Styela clava: one gene and its partner. The protein of the gene in region 1 interacts with the protein of each later gene in a pairwise test. Links are inferred from orthologs where the notes say so. Each region holds a gene or a part of one and is shown in the gene's direction. Other genes may lie near its edges. The genes, in order: PRKCA-binding protein-like and replication factor C subunit 4-like.

Region 1 (9,250 bases):
GAGAAATTTCCCACACTATTGAGTCAGAGCGAAGGATACACGCCGCGAGATCGTATCTCGTTACTTATAATTACTCCTTAAAGTTTAAGCAATGTCCATATCCCTAAATCAGGTTCGGGGTTGCAGAATTCCTCACCAAAATATCGCTAGGCTGTGTTTGAATAGCCGTCGCAACCTGGGTTAGCGCCGTTGTATTTAACACAAACTATAGGATTGGTAAGAACAGAAATAGGCTATTGGCTGGAAACTTATCGAAACAATCCAGTTCGGATTTGCAGAATTCTTCATAAAAGTATTTCCTCGAGTAGTATTTCGACGACATGGGGAGTTGGCTATTGTTTCCTACATTTCTGATATTGGCTGAAAACTAATCAAAACAATCCAGTTCGGGTTTGCAGAATTTTTCGAATCGAAACCGCAGTTTCTGTTTTGGGGGATCCCCTAACTTTCGATCGATAAGTCTTCGGTCTCCGACCGATATTCTCGTTCTTATTGTTATTCACGAATTTCCACTTTGAAAACTAACATTGTAGCATCTCTTTCTATATATAAATGTCACAGCTTTCCCCATCCATACCCATCCCTATATAACTATCATTAGATATTCTGATGCTGATCTGTACCGATAATCGGGTTAAATGTTAAGTCCCTCTTTAGTGTTTCATGACTACATACGAAAACACGGGACAATGATATACATACAACTTCTCCTTTTTAACTAGCAGCCAAACGCCTAACGCGCTCCTCAGTTGCATAAATACATTCAGTTTTTTTTTGAAACAAATAAGTAAAATTATAAATGCGACGACTGCTATGTTATCCGAACAAAAGCGAAAACTTTAACTACCAAGCGTGTGTCTGCCAAATACAAATTCAGCGTATTATTGATTAATTTCTAATGATTTTTATACTTTTTGAAATAATGCAAAATTGCCTAAAACTCCTGACAAAGTCTGCTTGGCCTCAAAATTGAACCGATTTTTTGTAAACTGTATATGTGACTCGTTGAAACTGAGATTCGAATGATTCAGAGTGAATAATTATTCACAAACCAGTAATCATACCTGAACTCCCAACTGTTTATGTCGCACAAAGACAGGCAATAGTTGTGGTAAATTAACATTTGCCTTATGGGAATTTATTTTCTTATATTGGTTTGTTTACATGTAACTGTAGCCTAATTCCTTCACGAATTTATGGTAAATTTGGAGTTCGGTACTACCGTAGTATGTGTACCAGATTAGGGTTAGGCCATAATTTTATGCCGATTTTCCTTATTTTAGTTCCATTACGAGTTCGGGGACTGTTTATGTTAGCCTATAGCATAAATAATGGGTAAATTCTGTTTGATTTTATTCTCAGATTTCCACGATACACAGAATATAAATCTTATAACATTTATCCAGACTAGCTTAGAATGGTTTACATCGTCTTCTCTCTCCTATCGAAAGATATCGGAGTCGTATTTATACGTTGATCATAAATCCAATTAAATGCTGTAAACGTGAGCTCGTGATTCACGTTATAAACAGAAATTCCTATTATCTCAACAAGGGTAATTAGGTACATCGTACGGATGGGAACTTAGATATAATTATTTCAATCAGTGCCAAAGGTCTTGAGAATATAGATTTTAATTTGATAATGACTGGATGGAACCTGTTATGTTCTTAAAACTGGTGTAATTTGATTCCTACGAAAGTCTTGGTTCGAATTTTGAGAAAAATTAACTTTGTTTTCATATTTTTAACATGAAATGGGGTACATTTGGGGGTTAGTTGCTATATTATCTCCCCATCTTACTAACTGGAAGTTTCAAGATTTGGCAACTCTAATAAATTGAAAATATATAGAAAAATACAATACACAATGCTAAAATTAATGATATAGGTCAAAAAAAATATTTACATGTATATGATCTACAATGAGACAAGACATTGAAGTAAAGAAGAGTTTATAGAAAGAGTAAAGGCTGTAATGTAGAATTACAGAAAGATGGCGTATTTATATTTGAAAAATTTTGGTTTGGACGGTTAAAACATATTTTCAATTCAATGTATTTCGCTAAGTTAAAATGCTTATACTCGCTTTATCGCATTGTTACGATTTAGTAGACCTAGTTGGTCAATATATGCTTGTCCCATGTCGGGAAGAAAAAACGCATTTTTAAGTTTATGCCATCTCAGGGCTTTTTTGAAAAAATAACGCTTTTGGATACAATTTTTGTTTAACGAGCTTATTATTTAACCGTTCTATATGACGGCTTTGTAAATAATTAAAAGTATGACTCGCTCGAATCTACTTTTAGAAAGCATTTTAATCCCAATGAAATCTATTAATCGAAAAAGGAATGCTAACCGCAAATTTTCAATAATATAAATATTTTGAAAGGTATTTGAAATCAGAATATTCAAAGTTGTTACCATTAATTAATTTATAAAAATTAAAAGTCGAATGAAACGCCATGTATATATAAGAAAAAGAAGTACGGTACTTTACCTTAGTATTAGTGGAAGAATGAAAAATGTCTGTCTCAATGAGAAGAAAAACCTGAAAATCATGAAACAAATTGTAGAATGACATGCTCCTGATCTGTATATCGATTGGGTACGCGCGACAATTTCTCTATTGTTCGGAATAGAGCGCGTAATTTACCGTAAAACAGTCCATATATTGTTCATTGTTTTAAACAGTTCGTTTTTTGATTAGGTTTTTCACCTCGAACATATATCATGTTCTAAAAGAGTTCATTTCGATCGATGTTCAATACAGTCCATATTCATAATTTTAACGTTTCCAGAGTCCGTCACTATAGTTTAACAGTTTTCAATTGAGTTTATTGTCGTTTCATAATGTTCTTGATTATTTTGGCTTGATAGCAATTTGATACTTCAATTGTTGTTCCAGGCAATTTGAATCTCCCCGACATTCGTAAGTTCGCACGTTTTGTATAGACGGTTTCTCGGCAATTGTTGAAAGCTTTCGCTTGGTCAGCTTTTTGGTTGATTCCGTCAAATTGTTGCCTGTCCTGATTGTTGTCCGTACTTGTGGTTGAAATCCGTTGATCTGGTTCGTTTCAGATGGTTAATTCAAGTCGGTTTTGTCACCATTTATAGTATATAGGGTAGATTCTATTTGATTTTATTCTCAGATTTCCACGATACACAGAATATAAATCTTATAACATTTATCCAGACTAGCTTAGAATGGTTTACATCGTCTTCTCTCTCCTATCGAAAGATATCGGAGTCGTATTTATACGTTGATCATAAATCCAATTAAATGCTGTAAACGTGAGCTCGTGATTCACGTTATAAACAGAAATTCCTATTATCTCAACAAGGGTAATTAGGTACATCGTACGGATGGGAACTTAGATATAATTATTTCAATCAGTGCCAAAGGTCTTGAGAATATAGATTTTAATTTGATAATGACTGGATGGAACCTGTTATGTTCTTAAAACTGGTGTAATTTGATTCCTACGAAAGTCTTGGTTCGAATTTTGAGAAAAATTAACTTTGTTTTCATATTTTTAACATGAAATGGGGTACATTTGGGGGTTAGTTGCTATAAGCCAACTGAATGAAATGAACCCTGCCCATAGGCTTCCATCCCTTTACACAACTTGATGTAAAGTAGGCGAACAAAATTAGTTACCTCCATACATGAGCATGCCAAACTTTTCTGCTGCCCGGGGCGAGTTTCTGATAATACTTTTAAAAGTCAATGATCAACCAAAATATTTCATATATATATATGCTTTCATAAAATTCCATAAGCAAATTAGGACGGCTCATCCATTAGCCAACGTCATGAATATTTTACATTGTAACAAAGCTGAAAAATATCAGACGGTTGTTTGTCATGTTGGAAAGGCTAAAGTAGAAAAAAGACAAAACTAAAATGGTGAAATTTTAGTTTCAAACTCCCAAAACCAACCTCATCTCATAGTTTGCGTCGCTATACACTACCGTTGTCCGTTTGCGGGGACGTTGTAACTCACCGAAGGGCTGATTCAAACATCGAACCGCAGACCTGATTCCAAATATAATAAGAGTGTGAGAGCTGGTTGCCCCACGGTGGCCCACCTTTCCCTACTTAACTTTTAAAAAATGTTTCGGTGTATAAAGAGATTATAGACGTCGTTACACGTGAGAATAAATAAATTGAAGGTCAGGTAAGACAGAAACGTTCGTTTTATTAAACAAATCATCAAACTAAGCAAAAAACTCACTGTATAAAATCGAACTCATTTATTAACAAAAAGCAAGTCACTTATTTCTATGTGCAATCGCTACTTTGCTGTCAACAAATGTCTGAATGAAAGACTCTTTCGAATTTCGGTACTAATCAAAGATAAACTTGACATCGAATACCTCGAATATATATATATATTTTTATCAGAACTTTGAGAAAGATCGCGTGCAACTATCAATTGAGTATAGCCAATTGTGAGTAATACACATTATGCAATGCACAAAGTTGGAAAATCATCCCAGCCAAGCTCAACCAATGAATCAAGAAAATCTTTAGCATTTTTTGAAAAATCCGTTTACACTCCGACGTAGCAGTGAACGTTTTAGAAGTCACACAGACAGGTGCATTCATATTATTAGGTGAGTGAACACATAACATTGGCAAGACCCTCCAATTAATATCCTGCACACCTTGGGCAGACTGAAACAACTGGATTTTTGACGTGAAATGGAACACTGTGAATCACAGTGTGATGAACAAATTGGTGTTGACGGTCACTGATGATCAAGTTCGGCTGCAGTATGAAACAGATCATTCACAAGGTGTAAAGAGAATAAAGAAAATTTATGGAAAGGTATTGCGGATAATGTTTTTTTAAAGGGATCAACATACAAACATTCAACGACCGTACATGACATTCGGCTGCTACGGGATGGGGCAAAATAAACATTTAATAATTAACAGCGTATTGCTGACATATAGGCTACGGTACATATTGAATTGGCCATTATTACTGTAATAGATTAGGTGTTTCAAAAGTATAACAGCCCGGAAGTTCCTATACATTCGAGTATCTTTTGTTTGATTATTTCTGGCCTAAGCCTTGTTTTAACTAGGCTTGTGTTTTTTGTAATTTATTTTTGTGTATGTGCTGGTGGGAGGGCACATGATATTTCGCATGTTTTGAACTTTTTTAAATGTTTCGCTCACCCTCCAGAATTCTCCATTTTAAATTTGTGTATATTGTGGAGTATTCGAATAAACTATCTATCTATATAACTGCAAATATATGTGCTTGGACCTCAGGTACTGCTGTGCGAGAAGATTTCTGGACTCCACGCCGACGTAGGGTGGTTTACGTAACCGCTGGTCGATTACGGTTTTCCGGACGAGAAGCCGTGGCCATATGATTATAGGCTTTCTTGCCCCCTGAATAAATATGTAAATTGCAAATCCTGCCCTTTCCCGAACGAGGGCATGATTTCCTGTCGTCATGGTTGATTAAACATGATTGACGGAGCTGGCTTTTGTTGACGTCATTCGTTCGATGTGCAGCTGAAGTGTTAGCTAATCCCAATTATTCCTCCTTAAAAACATAGTACGGTAGGTCTGCGATGGTTAGCCTACTCGTTATCATTTGCATTCTTTAAAATCACGTACTAATGCAGTATTGTTTGCGAACATAAATTTATGCAATACAGTAATAAGTATCGTAAATATAACTGAGTTTACACCTTGTAACAGAAATAAATATTCTCTAATATATTATGAAGTTGAAGCATCAATCTGTCAATTCAATGTTTTCTTCTACTAACTTTACTCATTCTTCAAGTTCATTATTGTTATTTAATCACAATTTGTACTGTACGGTAGTTCTTCCAAATTTAAAAAAAGTTAATGATAATGTGATTTTGTACCATACTAAACAGAATCGGTTTCGGAAATATTCGCTTAGAAAATAAAATATTTGAAACTCAGATCCCCAGCCTGCCAGTGGTGACTGCTTATGGTTTCTGCCCTTCGATTAGTGCGGTAGGATTTTTGATTTTGTTGAATTATCTAATTATTCATTTCTAGAATTTGAGAAAACAGTTGTAAACGAAATACTGACCGATATCCATACTACCAATTTGTCTATTCAATGCCCAGATGTCTCACGCCATGGAAGAATGGGGAATAGAAGAGGATAAGATGGGAATGACCACTGTTTCTGGTACAGTCAAGCTCATGAAAGATAAGCAAAATTTGATTGGAATAAGCATTGGCGGAGGTGCACCCTTATGTCCATGTCTTTATATTGTACAAGTATTCGATAATACACCAGCTGCAAAGGATGGATCTTTGGCTGCAGGTGATGAAATTGTTGCTGTAAATAGCAAATCAGTCAAAGGGCTATCAAAGGTTCAGTTGGCTAAAACAATACAAAGCATAAAGGGTGAAGTCCGAATCAACTTTAATAAACTACATGCAGATCCTAAACAAGGCAAAACATTGGATATTGTTCTGAAAAAGATAAAGCACCGAATTGTTGAACAAATGGATTCAAGTACAGCAGATGCACTTGGATTAAGTCGTGCAATTTTATGCAATGATGTTTTGATTAAGAGACTTCAGGAAATGGAACAGATTGGTGGAGTATATCTTGGGCTCATTGTTCACATAAAGAAACTTCTAAAATCTTATTTTAATTTGTGTAAAACTCACCGTGCATTCGGAGATATTTTTGGTGAGATTGGTGTACGTGATCCAAACTTTAACGGAGGTGAGGCTTTCGGGAAGTTTAGCGAAGCTCATCGTAATTTTGAAAAGTCTGGCTTCACTTTGATGACAACTTTAAAACCAATGTTGAATGATTTGAATACATATCTCAACAAAGCTATTCCGGATACGAAAATGACAATCAGGCGCTATGCAGACACAAAATTTGAGTACTTGTCGTTTTGTCTCAAGGTGAAGGAAATGGATGACGAGGAATATAGTTATGCTGCATTACAGGAACCACTTTATCGCGTTGAAACAGGAAATTATGAATATCGCTTAGTTTTGCGATGTCGCCAAGATGCTCGAGAGCGGTTTGCCAAACTTCGAAAAGATGTTATGGAAAAGCTAGAATTACTGGACAACAAACATGTACAAGATATCGTCCATCAGCTGCAAAGATTTGTTGCTGCTATTTCAAAGTATCATGATGACTGTCAAGCAAGTATGAAACAAGCTGATGTATTTCCAGTAGAAGTTGACTTGTCGAGTGCAACGTTCGAATATGATAAAAAAGACCGATTCCACGATCCGGAATATGAAGAGACTTTAGAATGAAAACGATGTTAATTGTCAACAATTCTAGTGCATATTACAGGTCAATTTGACCGGAATATCAAAAAAACAAAGGAAGTACTCCCTGTGTAAAATCTGAGAATTTTTATTAGGACCGTTTTGTAGTTTTGTCTGCTAATTCTTCGTATCCATATAGATTGGACCTCAAACTATTTATTCTATTGAAGCAATAACCTTTTTCAATTTACATGTGCATTTAATGTGAATTTTTGCTTTTTATTTCATCTGCTATCTTTGCGTAGAATTTTACTGCATAAGATAGTTTTGGAAGTTTTCTTTTATTGAATATATAAATTATGAAATGTAAAACAATGTGTCTTCAATATTGTGCTCATTTTGTCTGAAGTTTTCATTTTTTTGAATGTGTCTGATTAAAATTTTGTTGCCAAATGGTATGTATACTTTAAGAAGAGATTTTGTTATTTCATTTAAACTAGTACTGTTAAATCAAATGGTGAATTATGTTCATTTTATACATCAAACGCAGTGTGATGTTTCACTCTGTATGATTAATTTCAAAATATTAAATGAATAATACTTGAAATTCATGGCTGCTTTAATCGTTTTTGTCAATATAAATCAAATCCCGATACATAGTAATGATTCTAATGAAGATGAATTGTGCTGAACGATGAATTGCATGCTAAGTTCTATGTTTTCCCATTTATTGTGCATGTATTGTATGGTTGGTGATTATGTGCAATTACTTGTCCTTGATTAAGATATAAGATGCTGTAAATTGTATGTTGTTTTCTTTTAGTATTTTATTAACTTACTAATTAATACTGCACCTATTATTTATAATGGGAAAAGAAAAAGGTGGATTTTTAACTCCCAAGGCTATCGCAAATCGCATTAAATCGAAAGGTTTGCAAAAATTACGATGGTATTGTCAAATGTGCCAGAAGCAATGCAGAGATGAGGTAGGTTTCAAAAAATATGTCTTAAATATATTCTTTTCATACTATTATCTCTCTATCCACTTTTTCTATTTGCTTTGCCATGACATCAGACTTTGAACCTACATCTAATGAGTTAGTTCTAACTAATAAGCTATTCTAATATGCCATCCTAACATAACTAGTAGCTCAAAACTCTGAATAACATGATATATTGTCATGACAGAATGGTTTCAAATGTCATTGCATGTCAGAATCTCATCAAAGACAACTATTGCTGGTTGCAGAGAAACCAGGTGCCTTCAATGACCATTTTTCAAATGAATTTTTGAAAGAGTTTATGGAGTTATTGAAGCGTCGTTTCAACACTAGAAGAGTTCACAACAATGTGGTATGCATATATTATTAGAAAATTTTTGCTAAATCATACATTGCCATAAATGTTGATACTATTAAAGGGCTATTATAAAACTTATTTGAACTTATTATTCAAAAAGTTGAATACCTGGTACAATCGAACTTGAAGATCATCTCAATATTATTTGTTGTTTTAGGTTTACAACGAATATATTGGATTCAAGGAACATATTCATATGAATTCAACAAAATGGGTCACACTTACTGAATTTACAAAGTGGCTGGGACGTGAAGGTACATTAAATTAGGTTAGGTATATTTTCCTTTTACTAAATATTCAATTTAAAAAGTATAACCACTGGTACCCATGAAATGATTGTCATTATTGAGGACTCTGTTATTGTGCAAATAGGTTATTGCAAGGTTGACCAAACAGAGAAAGGATGGTTCATACAATACATTGACAGAGATCCTGAAGTTATTAGACGGCAGAAAGAACTCGAAAAAATTAAAAAAAAGGAAAAAGACGATGATGAAAGACATGCAAGGTAAGTTTCAGCCTTGTGAGTAACTGATTTTCTTTTCCACTCTCTTGAGACATATTGTTTCCTCTTCAGTTCATTGTAATATATTCTTTTTTGTAATGGAAAGTTTTCTGAATATTTTTATCATTGCTTTCA
Region 2 (8,237 bases), on another chromosome or scaffold:
GCGGGAATGAGGACGCAATAGGATGGCACAATATTGTCAATTCATTCATCCATTACTATTGTTAATGAAATCTATAATGACTCGACTCGTAAATAGAAGCATCAGTGATTCGACTTGACCCAGTACTCGAATTCGCTGAAACGCGGACGGGTGATGTGTAGGGATGGCGGAATCGAGTCCGGATTCGATTACAGAATCGATTCTTCGCGGAATCGACTAGAATCGATTCCGATGCATTGGAATCGATTCTCGAGGTCAAAACTTAGATTGCAAACAATGTGTAACCTTTTGTGGAAATTTCTTCCCAAATATGCATAAACTGTTTACTGCTATGTTGAGTTGCTACGACGCCGCAAACTTCATTAGCCTATGTATATATATATATATATATTTCGCGAGAAGACTTTTATGTTTATTTATTTATAAAAACTCCTTGGGTTCTGAAGGATTCTTTTTTTGTGCGATTTTGTCTCCTGTGACAGATTGGATACTGATACTACTTAGTTTTGGCCTTCTTGTCCGTCTATGTATTTAAACATCGCTCTCTTGTTTGATTTCATATGATGTTGCTTAGGTGGGTATGTTTCTCGGTGAGATATGTGGAGGAATCGAGATTCGGAATCGAGAATCGGAATCGAAAATTTAGGAATCAGATAGAAATCGAATACTTGTAAGTAGTCATACTTAGCATCCTTAGTGATGTGCCACTGTACTTTAAGATTCTCTTTTTGCCGTGGTCATTCGATAAAGATTTGGTGATATGTAGCCCTATTTTTATGGGATATTTCACACATCCCTTTGAACATGGGCTCTAAACAAGAAGTTACTCGTACATCTACTATGCATTTTAGGAAGAAATTTCATTGTTGTATATGAAATTATTCGATTGAATACAGCTATTGTATAAGAACGGTTTCAACTTCTGACAGCTTCACAACTTCCCCGTAGCAAAGCTCACACAAACTTTGAGAACGAGACGTAGAATTTCACTGCTAATATATTAGGTCATAAAATTGATTTACGTTGGATTTGTGACATGAAGCATGTCATTGGTTGGATGGAGTAGAGGAGTACTTTTCTAATATTAGGACCAGTACATTATCAGCAATGATGCGGCATTGTCAACATCGCACTGGCGCATTATCAAGAATGAGGGCGCATTAGGATGGAACAATATTGACATTCATTCAACCATTTTATTATTGTTTATGAAATCTATATTGACCAGGACTCGACTTGTGAATAGAAGCAGGAGTGGTTCGGCTTGACTTGTTACTCGAATTTGCTGCAACGGACTGGTGATATGTCACTGTAGAGATTTTCTTTGCTCCATCCTAATGCGAATCAAATAAACCAGACAAGTGGTAAATTTTATTAAATCTCGACCGCTACAAAATCAAATTTCTAAAGTTATGAATTAGAGTACGAGTCTTCTCTTACCCGTGGTGGTGGCTTTCTGAAAGAAAGGTGTATAAACGCTTGGTTCAATTGGAAACTTGTGTTCTTCCTTATATGAAAACGCAGAAAATGACTTCGACTTTTCTCTTTGTGGCAAAATGCGGTGGTAAGGAATGCATTTTTGCATTTTTGTGGCTCTCCGAATATGGAGTTTATACAAACTAAAAAGCAAAACATGAGAAAGAATTCTAGGAATTGAAATGCTGCTGTGTTTGACAACTGCGGGCAAAAATAGGCACATTCAACCAATCATCATTTATTTGTCAAGGCAATATAAAGACATCAAGGAAAACATTGCAAAATCGATGTTTTAACCCAACACCGCCGGATGACATATATTCAGTATTATTTAGCCTAGTCCAACTCTAAAAGATATTAATGGTGTTTTACAGTCAATGTTCTATAGTAGAGTCGTATATTTCACGAAAAAGAGACTTCAGCCATGACGCAAAGTGCGAATCGTATAAATAGCGTCGATTTTCAAATCGTCAGTCATATGTGTGAAATTGTTGACGCGACTCAGACAAGAAATCAATAGCATTAACTCCTTTATAATGACTTATTACTTATCGATCTTAAGATCGGTAAGTATATTGATAGGTATTTGTCTGTATGTATGTCTGTCTGTCTGTGTGTGTGTCTGTTAGATGCACGCGATATCTCACGAAAGCGAGATTGAATCTGCTCCAGATTTTGCATGTGCATTCATCTTATCTCGGACCAGAAGCCTATTGATTTTGGGCGAATTATGTCGTATAATTAGCGAGTTATCAATCATTATTGGTTTAGCATGTATTTTCAGTCATGCATATCATCCCTGGCGCTGTGATGTTTTGATAAATATAATTTCGACTGCACCATACTTGGCAGAGGTTTCGAAATTTTTCAAACGTGAAAAAAACGTAAAATTAATGATAATTTTCACGCGTAGCGGCGCGCATTAGAATGTTTACGTCTTTCTACGCGCATTTACGTCGGAAAAAGTAACATTTTTTGCATTGAGGGGAGCGTGTGCACTAATAATTAGAGCTGTGACGTCATCAAAATTGTTAATAGAAGCCTTGAACTTGAAAATTCTGTAAATACAATCGTTAATTTTAGAGTAACCATTCTTGCTATAATAGTGGTTCTAGTGTTGTTCTGTTGGAAAATAACACAAGAAAACGTTGAAATAAAAATTAATTAATTAGAAATAATTATTAACCCTGTACTAGACACAAAATCTCGCAAGTTCAATAGAAAATTTTGAATTTTGGCGTAAAAATTTTTTTTTAGAGGACTGCGTTTTACATATATTGCTGAAAAGAGCTCTATCACAAGCTATTAAAAAGCCATGAGTGAAGCTATAGGGCCTGATGGTTGACAATAAAATAACCCAAGTAAAATGGCACCAGACCGACCGGCTGGATAGGGTTTTGAAGAGCTTTTTCGCGCAAAAATAATGGTGAATTTATAAGGATACATGGACATGATAATACGACAATAGAGGCAAAGATACAAAGAACCTTATATGTAATGAAGTAGAAGTATCGAAGAGTTTGTTAACAGATATGACGATAACTCACTATATAATTTATGCTCATCGCTACCTACTGATTACACGTGTCTTTTCGAGCTCAAGCTTGAACGGGTGCTCGGTGGTAAGTATCATCACCGAAAAATTTATTATCCTAAGATTTTATTTAAGCAATGACGCGAAATGCACTTGTCTCATACTTGGCCATTGAACACAACGTCATCTCCTCGATTCTCTACCAGCTTCTAGTTCTGATAGTGAAACACGCAAACCACATCATAGAAAAGGCTATTCCAAAACCGTCAACATAGTTTAGGCAACTTTGTTAAAATGTCGCACGTATTCAAATTTTACAAAACAACTCTCCACGCCCATGCTTAAACTATTTTCGGTCTTTTGTTGTCGGTCCATGATTAAGGATCGCCGGTTCGTTTATTCGAGAGACTTGAACAATGGGAATTGTAGACGCAACTATAATATATATTACGAGTCAATACAAACATAGAATTTATATGGAAAAACACGTGGTGCGAGAACTGCACCATTTAAATAAAGAATTAGTTTGCAATGTCTTCATGGCGACTTGAATACTTGCGTTCTGATTGAAAACTCAATATTAACAATAGAAGAAAAGTATTAAACAATCAATCAATTTTATTTCGGTCCCTCTGACATGAAACAAAACAACAAAAAACGGACAAACAAAATGCAGAATACCTGGAGGAAGAGTATTTGCTTTTGTTGTTATAAGAAGGAAAAAAAACGAAAACTTGGGAAATCGCAAAACGTTGATGCGCAATTAAACAATATGGGTTTTGTGAACACACAACCAAATGAGTGTACTAAAATTTGAGTTTTACGGTGCTTGAAATCTGAATGTGAAATGGATGGTACATATGATTAAATTTAGTAGTTTTATATAAATTTATGTAAAGTTATGTAATTTTGGAATCCTGGTTGTCCTTTGCACTAAATATACTGCGTGAAGTTTGTATTGTTTGTTCACTAATTCGTGTGGCTTGCTAATTGGGATTCATTTCCACGCTACACGAAGATTGTAAATATCTTGCGGATCGAAGATAGATAAGTTACTTCACAGGCGCAGTTTTATGAACCGATTGCATTTTCGATCCATTATATGCAACGACTAACATACCGATTGTATGTTAGCGCGAAATTTAGATTTTGTATTTTTGAATCGGAACCCACAATTTATCCTCTTTTAATTTAAACCGGCCGAATATATTTTTAGACGCCGTTGCGGGCACATTTATTAAAATATACCTAAGATGCAAATGTCCAGAATATGCACTTGACAACAACATCAATTTTTATAATCCTCGCGGATATCAATCATATCGGAGCCATAGAACGCTCCTTTGGCGGGAAATCTGTAGAAATCCTAAATCCCTATTCTATCTGTTTGATTCGCTGTCTACAGATCTATGCTATGCTTTACACTCGGTATCGGTGCAGCAGTAGGGCTGGGCATTTTCGAATACCTTGTGATTTCAGAATCGAATCGACACACCATAACAAACACGTTTTTATCAATAACTCACTACAGAAAATAGTCATATGTTAGAATTGCGTTGAAAAAAAAATTGGGGAATTCACCTCGACCATTGGCGAAAAAAGAAAACAAGATGGCGGCGATTCGAAATTTAGCTCTGAACCGATTCGAATAATTTACTATTGGATTCGAAATGCCCAGCCCTATACAGCAGTAGTGCAAGCACGAGTATAGGAATAAAAATGGTGCAAAAAAAAAGTAATTGGTTTGAAGGATGATGATAGGATAGTTTCTTAGAGATGGTAGTTTGGATGGAGCCTGTTTAAATACTCATTCTGTCATTGTAAAATATTAGCTTATAATATAAAAACTTTTAATTATAAACTAATGTGGGATATTCTTTCAGTAAAAGTTAAACCAAGAATTAGACATATTTCTGGGAATGATTTATGGGTATTTTGTTCTCAAGCACCAGAATTTATATCTCATTCATTTTGGAACTGTGTTTTTACACAAAATGCAGAAATGTGTATGATTCTATTTTTTTCTGTTATATTAAAAATAAACGATTGTAAGTTGAAGTATATATATAGGCCTAAAACATGTTTGCATGTATTTTATTAGACCTAAGAAATCAGTGTTTTTCACATTTATCATTGATTAAACGTAATGCTATTACTGTATTATTCCAGACTTCTTATGTGTACTGCTAGATACAAGATTGGCAGATTTAAAAAATCCAGAAATCCCTTTCAGCATGGAGAAATATGGAAAAATTGAGACAACAACCTGATTTTATAAAAAAAAACTTGACATGATATGCAATAACCTATGACTTTTTGTATGAATTTTTATTTTCTGCCATAAAAAATTTAAAAAAATATTTAAAATAACTTATATTTACTTATAACTGTGATGAAAAATCTGTCTGAAAAAACAGTCTGATAGTAGTACAACATCTATTGAACCACAATGCATTCATTTTTTAAACCAGCCAGTGGATCTGGAGATGGAAAGAAATCATCCCTAACTAAGTCTGATAATGAAACAGAAAACTTGAAACCATGGATTGAAAAATACAGACCAAAATGCGTTGATGATATCGCGCATCAGGACGAAGTCGTTGCAGTTTTAAAAAAATGTATTACAGGAGCAGACTTGCCCAATATGTTGTTCTATGGTCCCCCAGGAACCGGTAAAACATCAACCATTCTGGCCCTTTCACGAGATTTGTATGGCCCCAAATTTCGGGATAGAGTACTTGAACTCAATGCATCAGATGACAGAGGCATATCAGTGGTGAGAGACAAGATAAAAAATTTTGCACAGTTGTCTGTAAGCAGTTTACAAGGCGGAAAGTCGCCTTCGTTCAAGATAATCATATTAGATGAGGCAGACTCTATGACGAAAGCTGCACAACAAGCTTTGAGAAGGACGATGGAGAAGCAAACGAAAACTACAAGATTTTGCCTTATTTGTAATTATGTCACAAGAATCATTGCACCGATTACATCAAGATGTTCAAAATTTCGATTCAAACCTTTGTCTGAAGAGGATCAGAAAAAAAGGTTACTCAGAGTAGCAGAAACAGAATCCGTTAAAATATCAGAAGATGCGATGGATAGTATGGTAAAATGTTCAGAGGGGGATTTGCGAAAAGCAATGACATTTTTACAAACTGCACATAGACTTAAAGGAGACGAAGGCATAGCAATCGAAGATGTTCTCGAGATAACAGGTGTAATACCAGATCCAGTAATCAAATCATTTCTCAATAGTTGTTCTTCAAATTCATACGAAAATCTCCTAAAAACAGTGCAAGAGATATCAGCTGATGGCCATGCCGCGGCTCAATTGGTCTCACAGCTCCATGATGAAATTGTTATTATGCCATCTCTCACTGATGAGCAAAAATGTGCCATAACTGAAAAATTAGCAACCCTCGATTATTGTCTCAATGATGGTGCGGATGAATACCTCCAACTTATGTCACTTGGAACTCTTATTCAGCAACAAATTTGCTCATGAGTTAGGGATTTTTTTCTACACTGCCAAATAGGGATGATATATTTTGGTGGAATATATCACTTTCATCATGCGCCAACCTGGTCAATACAACTTATGTGCTTATGTTATACCAGATTTCTTATTCCAGAATTTGTCCATGCACTAAAATTATACAGGAATTAATTCTTCATACACCAGCAGTGTCATGAGGTACAAGAGATTTTTAGAGAGTATCAACTAATGCTAACTGTGGACTTCATGAATCATTACATTGAAGTTATTATGAACCTCATAGTAATAATTCAACTCCATGTGTACTACCATAAATGCGGAAAAATAAGCGAATTCCTGTCTAAATGTTTCTGTTATTAAATTTTTTCACTGAGTTGAAGTTTTGCAATGTGTATAACATGGAAAATCAAAATAAGGTCAAATATTTAAGTCTTTAATTTACGGGGAGTACGTATTCTCCAACAGGTTTAACAGAAGTGATGTGGGATAGGAATAAGAGCAGGTTCAGCCCCCCCAATACATGAGAAGGTTGGTGGTTCGAAAACCAGAATTTACCAGGCAAATGGTGCCCATGACATAACAGGAAAAAGACTATAAGAATCTCTAGACATAACTGTATATTGAAAGAGACTTTGGTGGGAATAATATTAATTCAATATAAACCATGGGTGGGCGAATTGTGGGCCGGATCTAGCCCACTGAAGCGTTTCATCTGAAACTAAGACTATAGTTTTCATGGATAGAAATTTCTGAACCCGATTGTGCTTATTGGTATATAAATGTTAGCCTAGCTTTTGTGAATAAAATGTTTTTTTTGTTCATAGTTTTTCCTATCGAGTTTTGAGATTCTGGCCCAGTAACTAAATCTATTATGAGTAACTGGCCCACTCAGAAAAGTAATTGCCCACCCCTATCTAAACTGATTACCGGTAGCTTTTAAGATGCATATGTGGTCAAAAAATAGGGCGATCGGTACTTCGGTAATAAGACTGATTATATTATAAAAATCATTTTATTTGTGTAATTACATTAAGGTACATACAAATATATATAAAATAATATCAAACCTACTTGAAGAAGACAAGTCTCATAAAATCACAATGTCTCCATGATGCATAGTTTCTTTTCAACTATGTATTATGATGGGGTAGCCTAATTTTGAACAGAAAAATTGAGATACATGATTTAGAACCTATACCCTTTCAATGTCTGGAATTTATCACATCTGTTTTTGCTTAAGGCAAGAATCTGTGAAATTGATGTTTCTACATTTTGTTAGGACCTCTACACCTACAATTGGCAAATAATTATATATCAAGCAGCAATGACAGGTGCACAAAGTTTGGCACTGCACTTAAATCTAAATTGTTTATACAGTGGTCCAAAAACTCTTCCTCTCTTTTGCCCTTTGAAGTAACTCTGATGCACGCGCTGATGTCAATGAAGACGCAACAGATAGGACATCATCGTCTCTAGAAGCCATTACTGGTGTTGTTTGAGGTCTTCCTAGAGGACCACAGTGCTGGAATTCTTCACTTCTGAGTGATCCTTTAATTGGAGCCCTGATGTTTCGCAAGGAAGATACATGCCTTGTTACGATGGGGCTGGAGTTTGGTGGTGTCTGTTTTCTTTTCATTGGTGACTCCTTTTTTACAATAGGTGATTTTGCAGATGTGGATCGTTGGCCTTTTTCACGTGTGCATTTGACTGGTGCAGAGCGTGGGCTTAAAC

Evidence for each region.
Region 2: the proteins of PRKCA-binding protein-like (region 1) and replication factor C subunit 4-like interact in a two-hybrid assay, tested with the Caenorhabditis elegans proteins (3 studies listed by BioGRID). The link is inferred for Styela clava from reciprocal best matches to the Caenorhabditis elegans genes Y57G11C.22 and rfc-4.

What each region holds. Positions count from the first base shown.
Region 1 is NC_135258.1:21,924,711-21,933,960, forward strand, and holds PRKCA-binding protein-like, read left to right. Parts: upstream 1-5,649; 5' UTR 5,650-6,129; coding exon 6,130-7,296; 3' UTR 7,297-8,074; downstream 8,075-9,250. Other genes in the region: DNA/RNA-binding protein KIN17-like, read left to right, coding at 8,118-8,237, 8,440-8,604, 8,768-8,864, 8,983-9,118.
Region 2 is NC_135252.1:13,501,151-13,509,387, forward strand, and holds replication factor C subunit 4-like, read left to right. Parts: upstream 1-5,222; 5' UTR 5,223-5,459; coding exon 5,460-6,515; 3' UTR 6,516-6,928; downstream 6,929-8,237. Other genes in the region: nuclear protein MDM1-like, read right to left, coding at 7,876-8,237. UniProt on the Caenorhabditis elegans protein: The elongation of primed DNA templates by DNA polymerase delta and epsilon requires the action of the accessory proteins PCNA and activator 1. This subunit may be involved in the elongation of the multiprimed DNA template.